Macaca fascicularis: one gene and its partner. Each later gene encodes a partner of the first gene's protein in a complex. Links are inferred from orthologs where the notes say so. Each region holds a gene or a part of one and is shown in the gene's direction. Other genes may lie near its edges.

What was found. Proteins that work in one complex are often made in the same cells at the same time.
Region 2: RIPK3 (region 1) and AIM2 share a complex: the UniProt entries of both Homo sapiens proteins name them as parts of the AIM2 PANoptosome complex. The link is inferred for Macaca fascicularis from reciprocal best matches to the Homo sapiens genes RIPK3 and AIM2.

Annotation. Positions count from the first base shown.
Region 1 is NC_088381.1:92,152,001-92,160,107, reverse strand, and holds RIPK3 (receptor-interacting serine/threonine-protein kinase 3), read left to right. Parts: upstream 1-3,615; 5' UTR 3,616-3,780; coding exon 3,781-3,800; intron 3,801-4,009; coding exon 4,010-4,150; intron 4,151-4,284; coding exon 4,285-4,594; intron 4,595-5,046; coding exon 5,047-5,192; intron 5,193-5,318; coding exon 5,319-5,365; exon of another isoform or gene 5,366-5,403; intron 5,404-5,572; coding exon 5,573-5,740; intron 5,741-5,850; coding exon 5,851-5,918; intron 5,919-6,133; coding exon 6,134-6,508; intron 6,509-6,648; coding exon 6,649-6,709; intron 6,710-7,223; coding exon 7,224-7,444; 3' UTR 7,445-7,594; downstream 7,595-8,107. UniProt on the Homo sapiens protein: Serine/threonine-protein kinase that activates necroptosis and apoptosis, two parallel forms of cell death. Necroptosis, a programmed cell death process in response to death-inducing TNF-alpha family members, is triggered by RIPK3 following activation by ZBP1.
Region 2 is NC_088375.1:102,009,976-102,017,982, forward strand, and holds part of AIM2 (interferon-inducible protein AIM2), read left to right. Parts: intron 1-859; exon of another isoform or gene 860-993; intron 994-4,028; exon of another isoform or gene 4,029-4,030; 5' UTR 4,031-4,050; coding exon 4,051-4,312; exon of another isoform or gene 4,313-8,007. UniProt on the Homo sapiens protein: Sensor component of the AIM2 inflammasome, which mediates inflammasome activation in response to the presence of double-stranded DNA (dsDNA) in the cytosol, leading to subsequent pyroptosis.

The DNA of each region.
Region 1 (8,107 bases):
CTGAGCAACAAGAGGCAAATTCCGTCTCAAAAAAAAAAAAAACAAAAACAAAAACAAAAAACAAAAACAACAACGACAAAAAAAATTAGTCCCAGCATTTTGGGAGGCCAAGGTGGGCGGTTCACCTGAGGTCACGAGTTCGAGACCAGCCTGGCCAACGTGGTGAAACCCCGTCTCTACTAAAAATACAAAAAAATTAGCTGGATGTGATGGCAGGCGCCTGTCATCTCAGCTACTCGGGAGGCTGAGACAGGAGATTGGCTTGAACCCGGGAGGCAGAGGTTGCAGAGAGCCGAGACTGCGCCGTTGCACTCCAGCCTGGGCAACAAGAGCGAAACTCCATCTCAAAAAAAAAAAAGAAAAGAAAAGAAAAGAAAAATTAGTGAGCCACTGTCTCTCATTTCTAAGGGTCTGACATGATGTTAATTAGTTTCATGGTTAAACTTACTGGGAAATTGCTGTTTCTTCCTGTGTCTCATGCGTTCATTCTGGGATAATTTTTTTTTTAATCTTCTTTGTGCACATCCATTAGAAACTTCTTTAGGAAAGTGACTGTTCGTAGTAAACTCAGTTTTCATTTATTTGAAAATGTCTTTTTTTCTTTTTTTACCTGTCTGTAAATATAAAATTGTATACACACCAAAGTTATCTTTTTCAGGAACACTTTTCCTGTCTTTGAGCACCTTAAATTATTTCAACGTCTTCTGGTTTTTACTTGGCTGTTGAGAAGTGTATTTCCAGTTTAGTTACTGCTGCTTTGTAGATGATCTATGCTTTCTTTTTAACCTTTAATGTTGTTTATTTGTGTTCACTGTTCTGCAGTTTCACTGAGGTATAACTAGAGTGAATTTCTTTATATTTATCCTTTTTGGCACAACTATATTTGTGTATATTTGACTTTTTATATTTGCTCATTTATTTATTTAGAAACAGGGTCTTGCTCTGTTGCCCAGACTGGAGTGCAATGGTGCAATCATAACTTACCATAACCTCCAACTCCTGAGCTCAAGCTCTAACCCTAACCCTAACCCTAACCCTAACCCTAACCCTAACCCTAACCCAGCTCAGCCTCCCAAGTAGCTAAGATTACCAGAACTGGCAACCTTTTATTTTAATTTTTATGTTGTAGAGATGGGGTCTCACTATGTTGCTCAAGCTGGTCTTGAACTCCTGTCCTCCAGTTATCCTCCCACCGTGGCCTCCCAAAGCACTGGAATTACAGGTGTCAGCCACTGTGCCCAGATGGATCCTTGTCTTTCATCAGTTATTGAAAATTGTCAGTCATTTTTTCCTTAAATATTGCCTTGCCCCATTTTTAATTTTTCGCTTCTCTTCTCATGGGATTCCAATTTAACATGTTAGACCTACTCATTCTTTGTCTCTTAACTTTTCTATTTGCTCATCTTTGCTGCATTCTGGAGAATGTCTGCAGATTCATCTTTCAGTACACTAATTCGTTCTTCAGCTATATCTTCTGTTTAACCAAAATCTACAATTTCAATTTTAATGGTTACATACATTTTTCATTTCTTGATGTTTTATTTTTTGTAAATATATCTGGACATTGTTTATGATCTCTAATGCCTTGCTCTTTTATTTCTCTACTCTATTTTTTATTTCTTTAAACATTTTACAATAGCTTCTTTAGTTTCTTTATCTGATTATTCCAAACTCTGAGTTTCCAAATTCCAAGAATCAACCTGTGCCTAGGTCCACCCCCACACCCCCTTGCTGGAAGCTGAGGGTCCTGTTAGGCACTTACTCTAAGGTTCTTCTCCCTGCTCTTCCTTCTTTTAAAGGGGCTGTTTATTTTGAGTCAAAAAGTTGTATAGGCCCTGATACCACACCCAACTTTGTGCTTCACAGTAGTTTATCCCTGATTCTCAGGGTCTCATACCAATCTGAAGAAACCCGGTTATAACACCTTTCCAACTCCTTTTTGCCTGCTTCCTTCAAGTGGAGATACTGAGCCTGGGTTATTCTCTCCAAAAAGAATCACAAAGGGAGTGGCTACCCCTTTTGATGGTTCTCAGCTTCTGACTCTAGGCTTTTCTGAGGACCTGCTACACTTCTTGCCTTCTTGGATTCTGTGTGATACCACCATATCTCTATACTAAAGCCTACTTCAGACGGATTTCATGAACTGTGCAGGTGAGAGCCCTCAGTCCCTATAGGAACCCGATCTCCTCTTTCCTCCTACTGAGTATGGAGCTCCATCTAGGATGATCAGTGCCTTAAAAGAGGCTTAATATTTTTGGTTGTTCATTTATTCATTCAATTCAACAAATATTTATTGGGTATCTGCCATGTATTGGCTTTTAAAGAGACTACAGTTGAACAATTCCCTAAATAGCTCCAAAATAGCATGAGCTGACCCTACCAGAAGCCATGGTGTAGCTCTCCAGGAGTTGTTCTAGAAAAAACTGCTGATCACTTCTGCCTCAACCAGAAGAGCCCATGGACCGCTGAACAAAATGGAAAGCAAGTACCAAGGTGAGCCCCTTTTAGTGAAAGCCAACACACAACCCACAGGGTTGAGTATCCCTGTGAAGGACTGAGTGCCTAGGGCTGGCCCTATCGGGTTCCCACAACCTCCAGTCATGGTCAGACCTCCAAAAGGTAAAATATGGACACCTTTTTTCTGCCCTAAATCTTTAAGACTCTCCATGCTTCTGGGTTATCAAAAGCCTGTGTCCAGAGCATGTGCTTGTCAGGAACATTAATTAGGGTATTTGCATGCAAGAATTGTCATGCAAGAGAGAGGGCAGGAAAGCTCTGAATTGTTTCCACTGCAGTGTACACCACAATGTCACCAACTCGCTGGATGGGCTGGTATATCTAGCCTTACCACAATGCCCTTGGAGTGGGTTTGGGGTCTGCCAGCTCAAGGAGCTCCTGTTCATAGGGCATATAAGTCCCTATGAACATATAAGTCCCAAGGAATACAAATAGGGATCCTTCACTACATCGTTGGATGCTTCACAACTTTCCCAGCCTCCTGCAGGACCAGCTGAGTGGTCCTGCAACCTATGTGAAAACAGGTGAAACCTATGTGAAAACAGCCCTGAAACCTATGATGTGAAAACAGGATAACTTGATGGTTCAGAGCCATTATTTCCATATGGGCTTAGGCAAGGTACTTAAACTCTCAGTGTCTCAGTTTCCTCATCTATAGAAAGGTAATAAAAGCAGTACCTATCCCCTTAGGGTTCGTGTGAGAATTAAATAAGCTAATCTATGTACCTGGTGCATGATAAGTTTTATATATGCATTGGCTATGATCTTAGGGCAGCTATGAGAGAGCTGAGCCCTAAAACCATAAAACCTGCCTAAGCACCATCTCCACTCATGGCCTGGCAGGTGGTGGAGCAGGAAATCCTGTGGGAAAAGAGAAGGCTTTGACTGTAGGAGTGGGTTGATTGTGGGTTCCTGGAAGGTGAGGACCCATTCCCTAACATCCTCAATGCCCAGCCACACCTAACCTGGCCGCTGCATGCGGCAGGCACTCAGGAAACGCTAGTCAGGGAGAAAGACACTAGCTTTCGCTTTGCCCCCTGCCCCACCCCAGGGGCGGGACTGTAGAGGCGCCTGTAAGGGAAGTTGTTCAGTCAACTCAGAATACGGGTAGCAACCCGGAAAGTGGAGTCACCGTCCTGGTCTAGAGACTGATCCCTGCAGAGACAGATCCCTTCCCCTCTCTGCCAAAGACCGCAGCCCCAGAAGTCATTCCATCTCCTACTGCTCGCAATTTCCAGAGGCCCCCTCGCACCTTCCAGCCTGATGTCGTGCGTCAAGTTATGGTGAGTAGGGAGAGGCATGTCGATCGCAGCCTCCGACATTCACACCCAGAGCGCCCCACGGACTCGCTCAGAGAACGCCTTTGAGTCTGGAGACGGTGGGGGCCGGCGAGAGAGGCCGGGGATTGCAGTAAGAGCGCCGAGTCACAGGGGCGCGGGGAGCAGCGCTGGCGTAGGGCACTGCCGGCTAGTGGGCGACACCCCTGTCTCAGGCCCAGTGGTGCCTCCGCCTCCTTGGTGTCCATCGAGGAACTGGAAAACCAGGAGTTCGTCGGCAGAGGCGGGTTCGGCACAGTGTTCCGGGCGCGATATAGGAAGTGGGGCTACGACGTGGCGGTCAAGATTGTAAACTCGTGAGTGACCCCTGTTGCCCCCCCGGCCGCAATCTGGCCAAAAAGGTGGAGCCACTGTGCTCTGGGGCCTGAATGGGGAATGGAGGGATTTTTCCCACGACCCCGGGTGACTCCAGCTCTCTCCTGGAGTGTAGGAAGGCGATATCCAGGGAGGTCAAGGCCATGGCAAGTCTGGATAACGAATTCGTGCTGCGCCTAGAAGGGGTCATCGAGAAGGTGAACTGGGACCACGTGCCCAAGCCGGCTCTGGTGACTAAATTCATGGAGAACGGCTCCCTGTCCCGGCTGCTGCAGCCCGAGTGCCCTAGGCCCTGGCCGCTGCTTTGCCGCCTGCTGAAAGAAGTGGTGCTTGGGATGTTTTACCTGCACAACCAGAACCCGGTGCTCCTGCACCGGGACCTCAAGCCATCCAATGTCCTGCTGGACCCAGAGCTGCACGTCAAGGTCAGCTGCTCTACACCCCTCTCAGCCTCAGGACAAGGTCCCACCCCAGAGCAGCTCCAGCCAGGCCCACTGGACACCAGACCTCCAGAGCCCTGTCTATTGAATAGGCGTAGCCTCTCCCTCTGGACACAGGGCTGCCAGGGCACAAAGCCCAGCCAGGAGTTTTAGCTCCTGCCATACCAGGTGATAGAGGCCCCGACCCACACGAGTCCTTTCCACCAGCTGCCCCACCAACCCCTCCAAAGAGTCATGGCTGACCCAGCCCTGGAGACTCACACCTTGACCCAGCCCTACCACAGGCACCTAGATCTACTATCCAAGGGAGCCTCTTCCCTTGACCTCCACACTCCCTTTACAAAGCTGAACCTGAACCTTCTGGGGGCAAGGGGGTTTCTGGAGGCTGCCTGGCCCCCTTGTCTTCCCTACCTCCCACTTCTTTCCTTCCTTTGCAGCTGGCAGATTTTGGCCTGTCCACATTTCAGGGAGGCTCACAGTCAGGGACAGCATCCAGGGAGCCAGGGGGCACCCTGGGCTACTTGGCCCCAGAACTGTTTGTTAATGTAAACCGGAAGGCCTCCACAGCCAGTGATGTCTACAGGTAAGGATCCCAGCCCAAACACACAGCCGGGATTCCTACACTTCTCTGGGCCCTCCCAGGGGGTGATGTATAGGAAAGGAGTCTTGCCAGTGATTGGACTGGTCCTCAGCTTTGTGTCTCCTGCAGCTTCGGGATCCTAATGTGGGCAGTGCTTGCTGGAAGAGAAGCTGAGTGTAAGACTCTAGGCGGATTCTGGGATCCTTAACCCCAGGTGCCCTTCTCTTGAAAGCCCCAAAGCTTCCCCTTCCTGCTCACCTACTAAGACTGCCCTCCTCCATCCTTGTGCTCCCACATTACACTCCCTGCCTCTTTCCATGATGGAGCAGATATTCCCTTTTACCCTGAATGCCTTCTCTTCTCACCCTCCTCCCCTACTCCAGTGCCAACAGAAGCATCACTGGTGTGTGGAGCAGTGTGCAGGAGGCAGACCCGGCCCTCATTGACTGAGCTGCCCCAAGCTGGGCCTGAGACTCCCGGCTTAGAAGGACTGAAGGAGCTAATGCAGCTCTGCTGGAGCAGTGAGCCCAAGGACAGACCCTCCTTCCAGGGTGAGCTGGCCAATTAGCTGGATCTGGGGTAAGCTTGGGTCTGTCAGCATGGGGCTTTCCTCAGGAAAAGAAGATTTGCTCACCTGCAACCCACTCTGCTGTCCCTCTAGAATGCCTACCAAAAACTGATGAAGCCTTCCAGATGGTGGAGAACAATATAAATGCTGCTGTCTCCACAGTGAGCGCCAACATCACCCCTCTCCAGGAGCTGGTCAGGGATGGCACAACATGGCTACCTGGCCATCCAATGACTCACCATTAACCACAGCTTTTTTATGCCTTGACCTTTGTCCTCACCCTCCCCAGCCCACCCCTGAGTTCCAAGAGACTACTCCCTTGGGTTTACTCTGGCTCATCCAAGTCATACCCAGCAAACTCCTCCCATCCCTGCAGGTAAAGAATTTCCTATCTGAGCTCAGGAGCAGCAATCCGAGATTTTCTACCCCCGAGTCAGGCCAAGGAGGGACAGAAATGGATGGCTTTAGGAGAACCACAGGAAACCAACACTCTCGTAATGATGTCATGGTTTCTGAGCTGCTAAACAAACTGAATCTAGAGGGGTCTCCCAGCTCTGTTCCTGAAAAATACCCGAGCCTTACCAAGAGGAGCAGGGCACAAGAGGAGCAGGTTCTGCAAGCCAGGACAGCAGGGACATCTTCAGATTCAGTGGCCCAACCTCCCCAGACTCCAGAGACCTCAACTTTCAGAAACCAGATGCCCAGCCCCACATCAACTGGAACACCAAGTCCTGGACCCCAGGGGAATCAGGTGAGACATTGGCAGGATTAGGGGATGCACTAAGAGTCCTATAAATGCTGTCCCCTTGCCAGGCAAAACTTGGGGCTGAGAGGAGTGCACTGGGCGGTCCAGGCTCCAGGACAGAACTGGATGCTCTGTGATGTTTGCAGGGCGCTGAGAGACATGGCATGAACTGGTCCTCCAGGACCCCGGAGCCAAATCCAGTAACAGGTACCCACTCTCCACCTCTTTCTTTTCCCTGTTCAATTCTTCCATGAGACTCCTCCTCCAGATCTATATCTAGATTCAGGGTACTTTCTGGAGGCGAGGGGAGAAGATCATCTAACTCAACCTCATTTCATAAATGGGAAAACTGACACCCCCTGAGAAAGGAGCCCTCTGAGGTCACACAACGAAGCTTGGATTTTTCCCTGAGTTTTCTAACTTTCCACAGCATCAGCTCTGTGAGCCCCCTAAGTTCCATTGTTTCAGCAGTCCAGAGGACTTCCCAGCAAAAAAGATCAGGGTCTCAAATGTCAATTGCTACTCTCTAGAGCTTCTGCTAAGCCAGTTCTGGAGAGGAACTCTGAAGGGAAGGGCACAGGACACACCTTAACACAGTCATTTGGGCGACCACTCCACTCAAGGCCAAGCTGGGGGTGGAGACCTCATACTCCCCACCCACCCCCAACTTGGCCTTTCTGACAGCTAAACCCTCCTGCCACCATCACTATTTCTCTTAAAGGGCGACCACTCATTAACTTACACAACTGTTCTGGGGTGCAAGTTGGAGACAACAACTATTTGACTATGCAACAGACAACTGCCTTGCCCACAGGGGGCCTGGCACCTTCGGGCACGGGGAGGGGCTGGCAGCACCCCCCACCAATAGGTTCGCAAGAAGGCCCTGAAGAACCTGAAAACTGGAGCGGGCCACATGGTTGGTATAATCATAGTGGAAAATAAAGCACCTTCAGAGCTTGCCTCCAAGAGTTACGAGTTAAGGAAGAGCGCCACCCCTTGAGGCCCCTGACTTCCTTCTAGGGCAGTCTGGCCTGCCCACAAACTGACTTTGTGATCTGTCCCCCAGGAGTCAATAAACATGATGGAATGCTAGCCAAAGTCTGAGCTCAGCCAGGGGCCGGGAGGGACTGGGATGGGGGTGGGAGCTGCCAGTGAGGGATAGGGAGGCACCACAACTCTGCTATGGCAGGAAGCGGGGATGCTGGGGGCTGGGAGTGGGCAACGGCCTGGCACACAAGGTCAGGGCACAGCCGGCTACAACAGGAAGGAATCCCAGAGGCCTGGTTCCCCAGACCACTCTAATCTCAGGGCAGTGCTTCCTTTAAAGCCTAGGATGGCGACCCCACCCTAACCCTAAACTCTGGGGATAGAGGCTGTGGTCCCTTTTCTTCTGGGCTCTCAACTCAGTTGCAGCGCTCTGGGAAGGGATGAGTGGGTGTGAAAGATCACAGACCAGGCCCCCCACGGTGCCCTCAGGTTCTTAGAGATCATGAGGTCCCATACCTGCCTCCACCACACACTCAGGTTGCTTCCTAGACATTGCTTCCCTTTTGATTCCCAGCTGCTCTTCGGGAGTGGAAAGCTATGGCTCCTAAAGCTATACAC
Region 2 (8,007 bases), on another chromosome or scaffold:
TGGTTAGCAGAGGGACTGCCCCACTAGTAGACAGGAACTGTTACAACAGGCTATGACAACGAAAACAGATTGCAAACTTCCTACTTAGGCACAGATGAGAATGTAACACAGAAGAAACCGGCTGCAACTGGTTAAAGCCAAGATGGTCGAAAACTTGGCTGACTGCTGACCCTTAGCTTCATTGTGCCTTAATATCATAAAACTTCCATGGGGGAATTCCCACTCCCATCATGCACCTGACGCCATGACAGTTCTGGATTAACCATCTTTAGTCAAGAAAAGGGTGGCACCCCGATTCTGGGAATTGCCCGCCCATTTCCCAGAAAAGCCTTCCTCTTTATCATAGAGTACCCCATACCTTCATTGTGCTTATTCATGTAGTACATGAACCACATTGCCTGTGACTCAATCTTTGAGTGCCTGCACTCGTCCCTTGAGGGTATCCTTGCTTTTGCTCCACAATAGAATGTCTGTACTTTCACTTTGGTCTCATTTCCAGATTCTCTTATGCTTTGAAGACAAGAAGCTGCACTGGCATACTGGCAATGCTTGTAGATACCCTCTGAGATCAGTGTGCTTGTTTATACCAGAAAAAATGTCATCACCAGGCCCCTTAGTCACAAAGCGTATCACTAAGTCATCTTCGGTCATTTTTTACAGTTTCCTAGCCACTTTCTGTTTCCAATCAGTGTAACTATGTGGCATGACTCAGATACAAGTTTCTATAGAAATTTTCTTCTGTGGCTGCTAGTGAGAACCCAAACCAGCTCAGCCAATGAGAGCTCCAGTTGTCACTCCTACCCACACTGGGCCTGCGGGTGACGGGAAGTGTTTATTAGGGGTACGTGTGAAGCTGTTCAGAAGTGTCAGAGTCTTTGTAGCTTTGAAAGTCACGTAGGTTATTTGGGCATGCTCTCCTGAGCCCTCTGTTAGTTAAGCTCTCTGAAGAGAAGGTGGCAGACCCGGTTTGCTGATCGCCCCAGGGATCAGGAGGTAAGCACCATGGAGGAGCTGGGTTAGAGAGGAGAGACTGAACCGTTTCTCCGCCGAAAAAGACAACTGAGGAAATGCCAGCCATGCTATGCACCCCTCTGAGAACTTGAACCTGGGAAAATGGACATGAGCTCTGAAAGGATGGGTTCATTTATCTTTTACTCACTTTAGCCATGTCCTCTGGTGTCTCTGAGCTGGTGTTCCTTAAGCTTCAGATTCCATTGGGGTTTATCTATCAGCCTGTTTGTAAGACTAACTTTTATGCCAATAGCAAATACAAGCATTTTTTAAGTTAACAGATATTATGAAGTAAAATGCAAGTTTTTCATTTATAAGACAACATAACTTCAGAGAAAATGATGAGTCAATCTTATTAAAATGTGATTAAAATGTGATTGTTATTATATAAGAGGCTTATAGGAAGATTAGTTTCTTATAGACAAGTAGGAAAGCAGGAATCATGCCAAGCTGATTGTAGATATTCAGCAAAGGTAGTGTCCTTCCTTGCTTTCATCAGTAGGACGGGGGCATTTGGATGGCTTTATCATTACAAATATTTTTAATGTTATTTCTTATTTTGAAAATGGTCCTGATAATAGTTTTAATTTTCACTCATGAACTCTACATGTATAAGTAGAGTTTGTCCAGCCCTTACCAGCATATAAGGAAAAACATTATGAGGCCATTAACAGTGATAGTTTAGAATTTATTAACATTGACTCTACTGATGGTGGTATTCAAGCTTCCCTAAAATTCACAATCAGTTATTTTCAGCTCATAGACATCTTTTCCTGTTCTTCGGCTTATTTCTTCCACTTTATATGTTGCTGCTCTGGAAGTCATTAATTGCTAATAATGTCAAACATCTTTTTTATGTTTATTGGATACTTGAGCAAATTGCTCATTCACATCTTTTGCACACTTTTCAAATAGACTGTTTATTGTTTTCTTAGTGATACATGGTTCTCCATGTATTCCAAAAGCAAAACTTCTATTAGCTATATATATATATATGTATATTTCAGGTATCTGCCCAGTTTTTGCCTTATATAAACACTTTGTTTAGTGTGTGTGTGTGTGCACGTGTGTGTGTGTTTCCTACAAAGAAATTAAGAATATGCATGCAATCACATTTGACAAAGTTTGTTTTTTTTTCTGGCTTGTCCTTTTTGTGCCTTGTTTAAGAAACCTCCTTCTACTTCAATGTATTGAGAAATTCTGTGTTTTATTCAACATCATTACTCTTCTGTTTAGATAATTAATCCAGCCAGATATATATTTGTGTATGATATAAGAGAAAGGCCAAATATATCATTCCCCGAATATTATCTTTTGCCTGAATACTTTTTATAGTTGGCCATTCTTTCCTTGTGATTTTTAACGCCAGTTTGATTATGTACCATGCTTTAACTTACATGTGGTCCTGTTTCCACACTCTATTTATTAGTTCATTTTTCTCTATGCCACTGCCATATCGATTTAATTATTATACATTTGTAGTAAGTATTGATACCTAGTAGTAGGGATACTACATCCTAATAAACAATTCAACATGTTTTGCAGGTTTTTGTCTTTATTTTTTTCATTTAGGTTTTAAGATCATTCTGATAAGTTCTATGAAAAACCCTTTGAGATTTTGGATGGGAGTTTATAGATTAATTTGACAACATTGCTGTCTTCATTTTATCAAGTTTTCCCATTTAAAATATCACACATACACCCACTTAAGTAGGTCTTTTAAATCTCCCAATGAAGTTTTATAAGGTTCCCTTTAAAACTCTTAAATATATTGTATTAGATGTTCTTATGTACTTTGTAGTTTTGTTGCTATTGGAAATTACTTTTTTACGTGATTTTTTTCACTCTTGGAGTGGTGCTAGAATAAAGGAATGCATTTCTGCATATTAATCTTATAGTTATAAACTTTTGAATGATTATTTATAATGTTTTGTGTATTATTTTGGATACTATACATAAACAACTATATTACTACAATGTGATTTTGGCAACAAGATACAAAAATAGGTTGATGGACAGAATAAAGAATCCAGAAATAGACTCACTCATATTTGGACAACTGATTTTTGCAAAGGTAAAAAAAATCGTTAAAAAGGATAGTCTTCTTAATATACGGTTCTGGGAAATTTCATATTCATATGAAAAATAAATGAACTTTGAGTCATTGCTTATACTATATACAAAATAACTCAAAACGGTACATACACCCAAATAAAATGATTAAACCATAATATTTTTAGAGGAAAACATAAAATCTTCTCATCTTGAGATTGGAAAAGATTTCTTAAATAAGACAGTGAAAGCATGATCCATGAAAGAACAAATTGATTAATTGCACTTCATCAGGTATATGTATATGCGAAAATTTATCAGATTGTATACTTCCAATATATGCACTGTGTTGTATGCCAGTTATGCCTCGATAAATCTATTTTAAAAATAAAAGGAAAATGTATCCTGTTTCCTTTTTGTTGTAGTGTTTTGTTTGTTTGTTTGTTTTGAGACAAAGTTTTGCTCTTGTCGCCCAAGCTGGAGTGCAATGGCGCGATCTTGGCTCACTGTGACCTCCGCCTCCTGGTTCAAGTGATTCTCCTGCCTCAGCCTCCTGAGTAGCTGGGATTACAGGCCCCCACCACCACGCCCAGCTAATTTTTGTATTTTTAGTAGAGGTGGGGTTTTGCCATATTGGCCAGGCTGGTCTCAAACTCCTGACCTCAGGTGATCCGCCCGCTTTGGCCTTCCAAAGTGCTGGGATTACAGGCGTGAGCTACCATGCCCAGCTGATGTATCCTGTTTTCTAAGAATTCCAGAGGTGTTGTATACTTTCTGAAGATGTCTTTCCCAGGAATAGGGATCACCTTGCTTAAGAAGTTCTTACCTATGTCCCATTCAAATCTCTTTTACTACTGCAAACATTTTGTTTATTTTTCTTTAAAAATATTAATAGCTCACCTTGCTTTATTTTGAATGTAGAATCCCTTTTGGTGTTGTAATCTTACATGCTTTGGATTCCTTATAGGTTGATCCCAAAGTCGTCAGATGGAGAGTAAATACAAGGAGATACTCTTGCTAACGGGCCTGGATAACATCACTGATGAGGAACTGGATAGGTTTAAGTTCTTTCTTTCAGACGAGTTTAATATCGCCACAGGCATACTACGTACCGCAAACAGAATACAAGTAGCTAACTTGATGATTCAAAATGCTGGTGCAGTGACTGCAGTGAAGAAGACCATTCTTATTTTTCAGAAGTTGAATTATATGCTTTTGGTAAAACGTCTTAAGGAAGAGAAGGAGAAAGGTAATGTGGTAGTCCCGCACCTGCCCAGTCCCTTTCTCTGCCAAGCCTGGGCCTTTCCTTTCATGGCGTCCCTGGGATATGACCCCCAGTGCACACTGTTGGAATTTGTTTGCTAACTTAGTGCACCTGTCTCTTTGCCCCCTTTTACTGAGAATCACTTGTAGGAAGTGTTTGTTACAAATTCCACAAATCCATTCCAGCCTTGGTTTGCATCTCTTGTTCCAGCCTTTAGGGTGACCACTTCCATTTATCATCTTTTCTCCTTGCCCATCTTTGTCTCCAGTTCAATTACAGTGAATATGGATGTAGAATTTCAAAGTTAACTTTTCCCAACTCCATTTCCACAGTATGTAATGCTCTCACATTCTACTGAAGTCTCAAAAATATAAATTATTGCATTGGAAAATTGTAAACCAGGATATTGAGCACCTTTTTTTCCTTCACACAGTCTGTTTATTTCTCTCCATGTCCCTATCTTTCTATGGTCCCAGACTATGCTGCTTTCTTTAGGGAATGATCTCCTCCTTCTTCAGGGAGGGAGAATCCTCCTTCAGGGATTCTCTCTCCTCTCTATCTCCAGTGACAGTATAAATTACCCACAGCAAAAAGACTTTTTTAACATCATTCAATAAATCACTCATCATCTCCATCTGAATTATATACATTTAGTTTAAATTCCTGATTTTGTTTACTAAGAACAATTGATACGTCCCGGCTTTATGTCTGAAGAACAAAAAAGAGCTAACAAAGGAGCATATCACTCCAGGACTGTCCCAAATGAGAGTCTCCAAATGCAACAGTTTTAGGATTCAAAGTAAAACCGTAACAGCAAAGATTACAACAGCTTTTAATAGCATTTGTGGGTGTACAACACGGTGACATGGCTTCTCACACATGGTTTATAAGAAGGTTAAATGAAGCCACATAAGTGATACTATGTAGGTCCATAATTCTATACAGATGTAAACTGTGAGGTAGTTTCTAAGGCACTAATGAGAAAGGAGTGGTTGTTTTCCCAGGCTTTAAGTTAGAAGGTGTAGTTCTTTAAGATGGCCCTTAGATGGCAGTAACTACCCATGTTACTTCCATGTAACCAGCTGCCCTGTGTTTCTTATCTGGGATGAGACAGGAATCTATTGGCAAACATAGGCTGAGATATTTAGAAATATCTTCTATTTTGGCAATAAATCAAGAATTAATTCTTCTCTTTGACCAGGATAGCACAAAATTTCCCCTTCTACAATCTTCTCCCCATTTTGCTGTTCTAATGATTCTGGGATTTTGTTATTCTACTTAGCTAAAAAAGATCCAGTTTGGGACTAACTTGGAGACTCAGGAGTAGATCATCCAGAGGCTGTCCCAAATGAGAGTCTCCAAATGTAACAGTTGTAGAATTCAAAGTATGCTTTTGGGCCAGGTGCAGTGGCTCACACCTTTAATCCCAGCACTTTGGGAGGCCAAGGCAGGTGGATCACTTGAGGTCAAGAGTTCGAGATCCGCCTGGTCAACATGGTGAAACTTTGTCTCTACTACAAATACAAAAATTAGCCAGGCATGGTGGCAGGCGTCTGTAATGCCAGCTACTCAGGAGGCTGAGGCACGAGAATCAACTTGAACCCGGGAGGCAGAGGTTGCAGTAAGCTGAGATCATGCCTCTGCACCCCTGCCTGGGCAACAATAGTGAGACCCTGTCTCAAACAACAACAACAACAACAACAACAACAACAACAAAACACAAAGTATGCTTCCTGCATGCTCTACAAGAAGGCAACTGAGTTCCTTCATCGCTCTCAAATTCCATCCGTGGACATACTTAGGCCTCTTTTGAATGTAGGAAATTTTTGTGTGTCCATGCTATTTCTATTATTGTATGAAAAGCTTTTGTTTCATTTTTTTTGAACAGTTACTATCATTCTTGTTTAAGTGATCCTTCTCTGTTGCCATGGCATGTCTGCATGTAGAGTGCTATATGCTCTTCTACTCACAACCTCACCCCATGGAAGGTAGAAGATACCTGGAGAATCTTTAATGAAGACAGAGGCAATAATTAGTAGAGAGGAGAAGCTTTTGTATGAAGCAAGATGAGAAAATACAAGGACTCATAAGCATAGAAAAAGGAAGCGAAGAGAAAATGTGATCACAGTCTACAGAAGTCCTGCAAGATTAAAATAAAATGCTGAAAATGATAAATGAGATAATCAGTAACAATGTCCACCTGATTATTAAGGCAAATGAGAGATTTATAGTGGGCAGACAAGCTTGTCCACAAATATTGGTACCACGGTGTGTGAGATGAAGTATGGCTGATGTGATGTGGTAGAACGGTAGGTTGATTCCCTTGGCCTCCTTGATGCTGTTTTCTCGCCGATGCTGTGAACATAGAAGAGACTTTATCTGCATACCTTTCTGAAACCAGTTGCATGGAACTAACTTATCATTAGAAGGTTAGTGTAACTTCTTTCTAGAGCAGAGATCCTGCTACAATATCCCTGTCAGACAGTCAACCACTTTCTGATCTTTGAAAGGTAATGACAGAGTACCTACTGCCTCATAAAACAGTATCGTTTCTGTTTTTAGTAAAATCAAAGTGATTGCCTTGCTATTTCAGCCCAGAGTTGTTCAAATTCTATCAGAAATGACATCTAATAATTTCTCAGGCCCTCTTCTGCCTGAGAGTGCCTTAAGTCATTAAACACGACCATCTTGTTACATGGTCTTTTTAAAAATCAGGACTAGGAGTTGGCTTTTCACAATAACATATAACCTGACCATAGATGTGGAGGAGCCCAGCCAAAGTATACAACTGCATTTTGTAGGCATTAGTGAGGAGCCAACATGCCACCCATCCATCCATTTCTTCATCCATTCAGTAAATATCTATTGAATTGCTAATAGGTACAAGGAAAGCTTTTAGGTTCTTATGATAAAACAAGGTGTTAAAAACAAATCCAAATTTTATACAGCTTCTATTCTAAAGGGAAAGTAGATATTTTTCTTACAGGAAAATTTATGAATGTAATTAATTGAGACAAATGCTCTAATGGAAAGGAAGATGGTTCTTCAGCAGCATGTGTCAAAGGAGCATTAACATAAGCCACGAATTAGAGTTGGTGTTGGTCAAAGTGGGTTCCATAGGGAAGTGACCCTTGCACTAAGCTCTGAAAAATGCATAGGAGTTAAAGGTACCTTCAGTCAGAGGGAACACTGTGAAAATCCCTATGACAGCAGGTGTTGACCTGCTTGAGGACTGAAAGAAGGCCAGTGTAGCTGGAGTACAGAGAGTCTTCAGAGGGCAGGATGGGGTCCCCTCGATAGAAGGACAAGGCAAGGCCTTGTAGAACATAATTAGAAATCTGTGGCCAGGTGCGGTGGCTCATGCCTGTAATCCCAGCACTTTGGGAGGCTGAGGTAGGCGGATCACAAGGTGAGGAGTTTAAGACCAGCCTGACCCACATGGTGAAACCCCGTCTTTACTAAAAAAATACAAAAATTAGTCAGGCATGGTGGCATGAACCTGTAATCCCAGCTACTCAGGAGGCTGAGGCAGGAGAATCACTTGAACCTGGGAGGTGGAGGTTGCAGTGAGACGAGATTGGGCCACTGCACTCCAGCTTGGGTGACGGAGTGAGACTCTGCCTCAAAAAAAAAAAAAAGAAAAGAAAAGAAATCAGCCCTTGTTTCATAGCAGTAGTTTA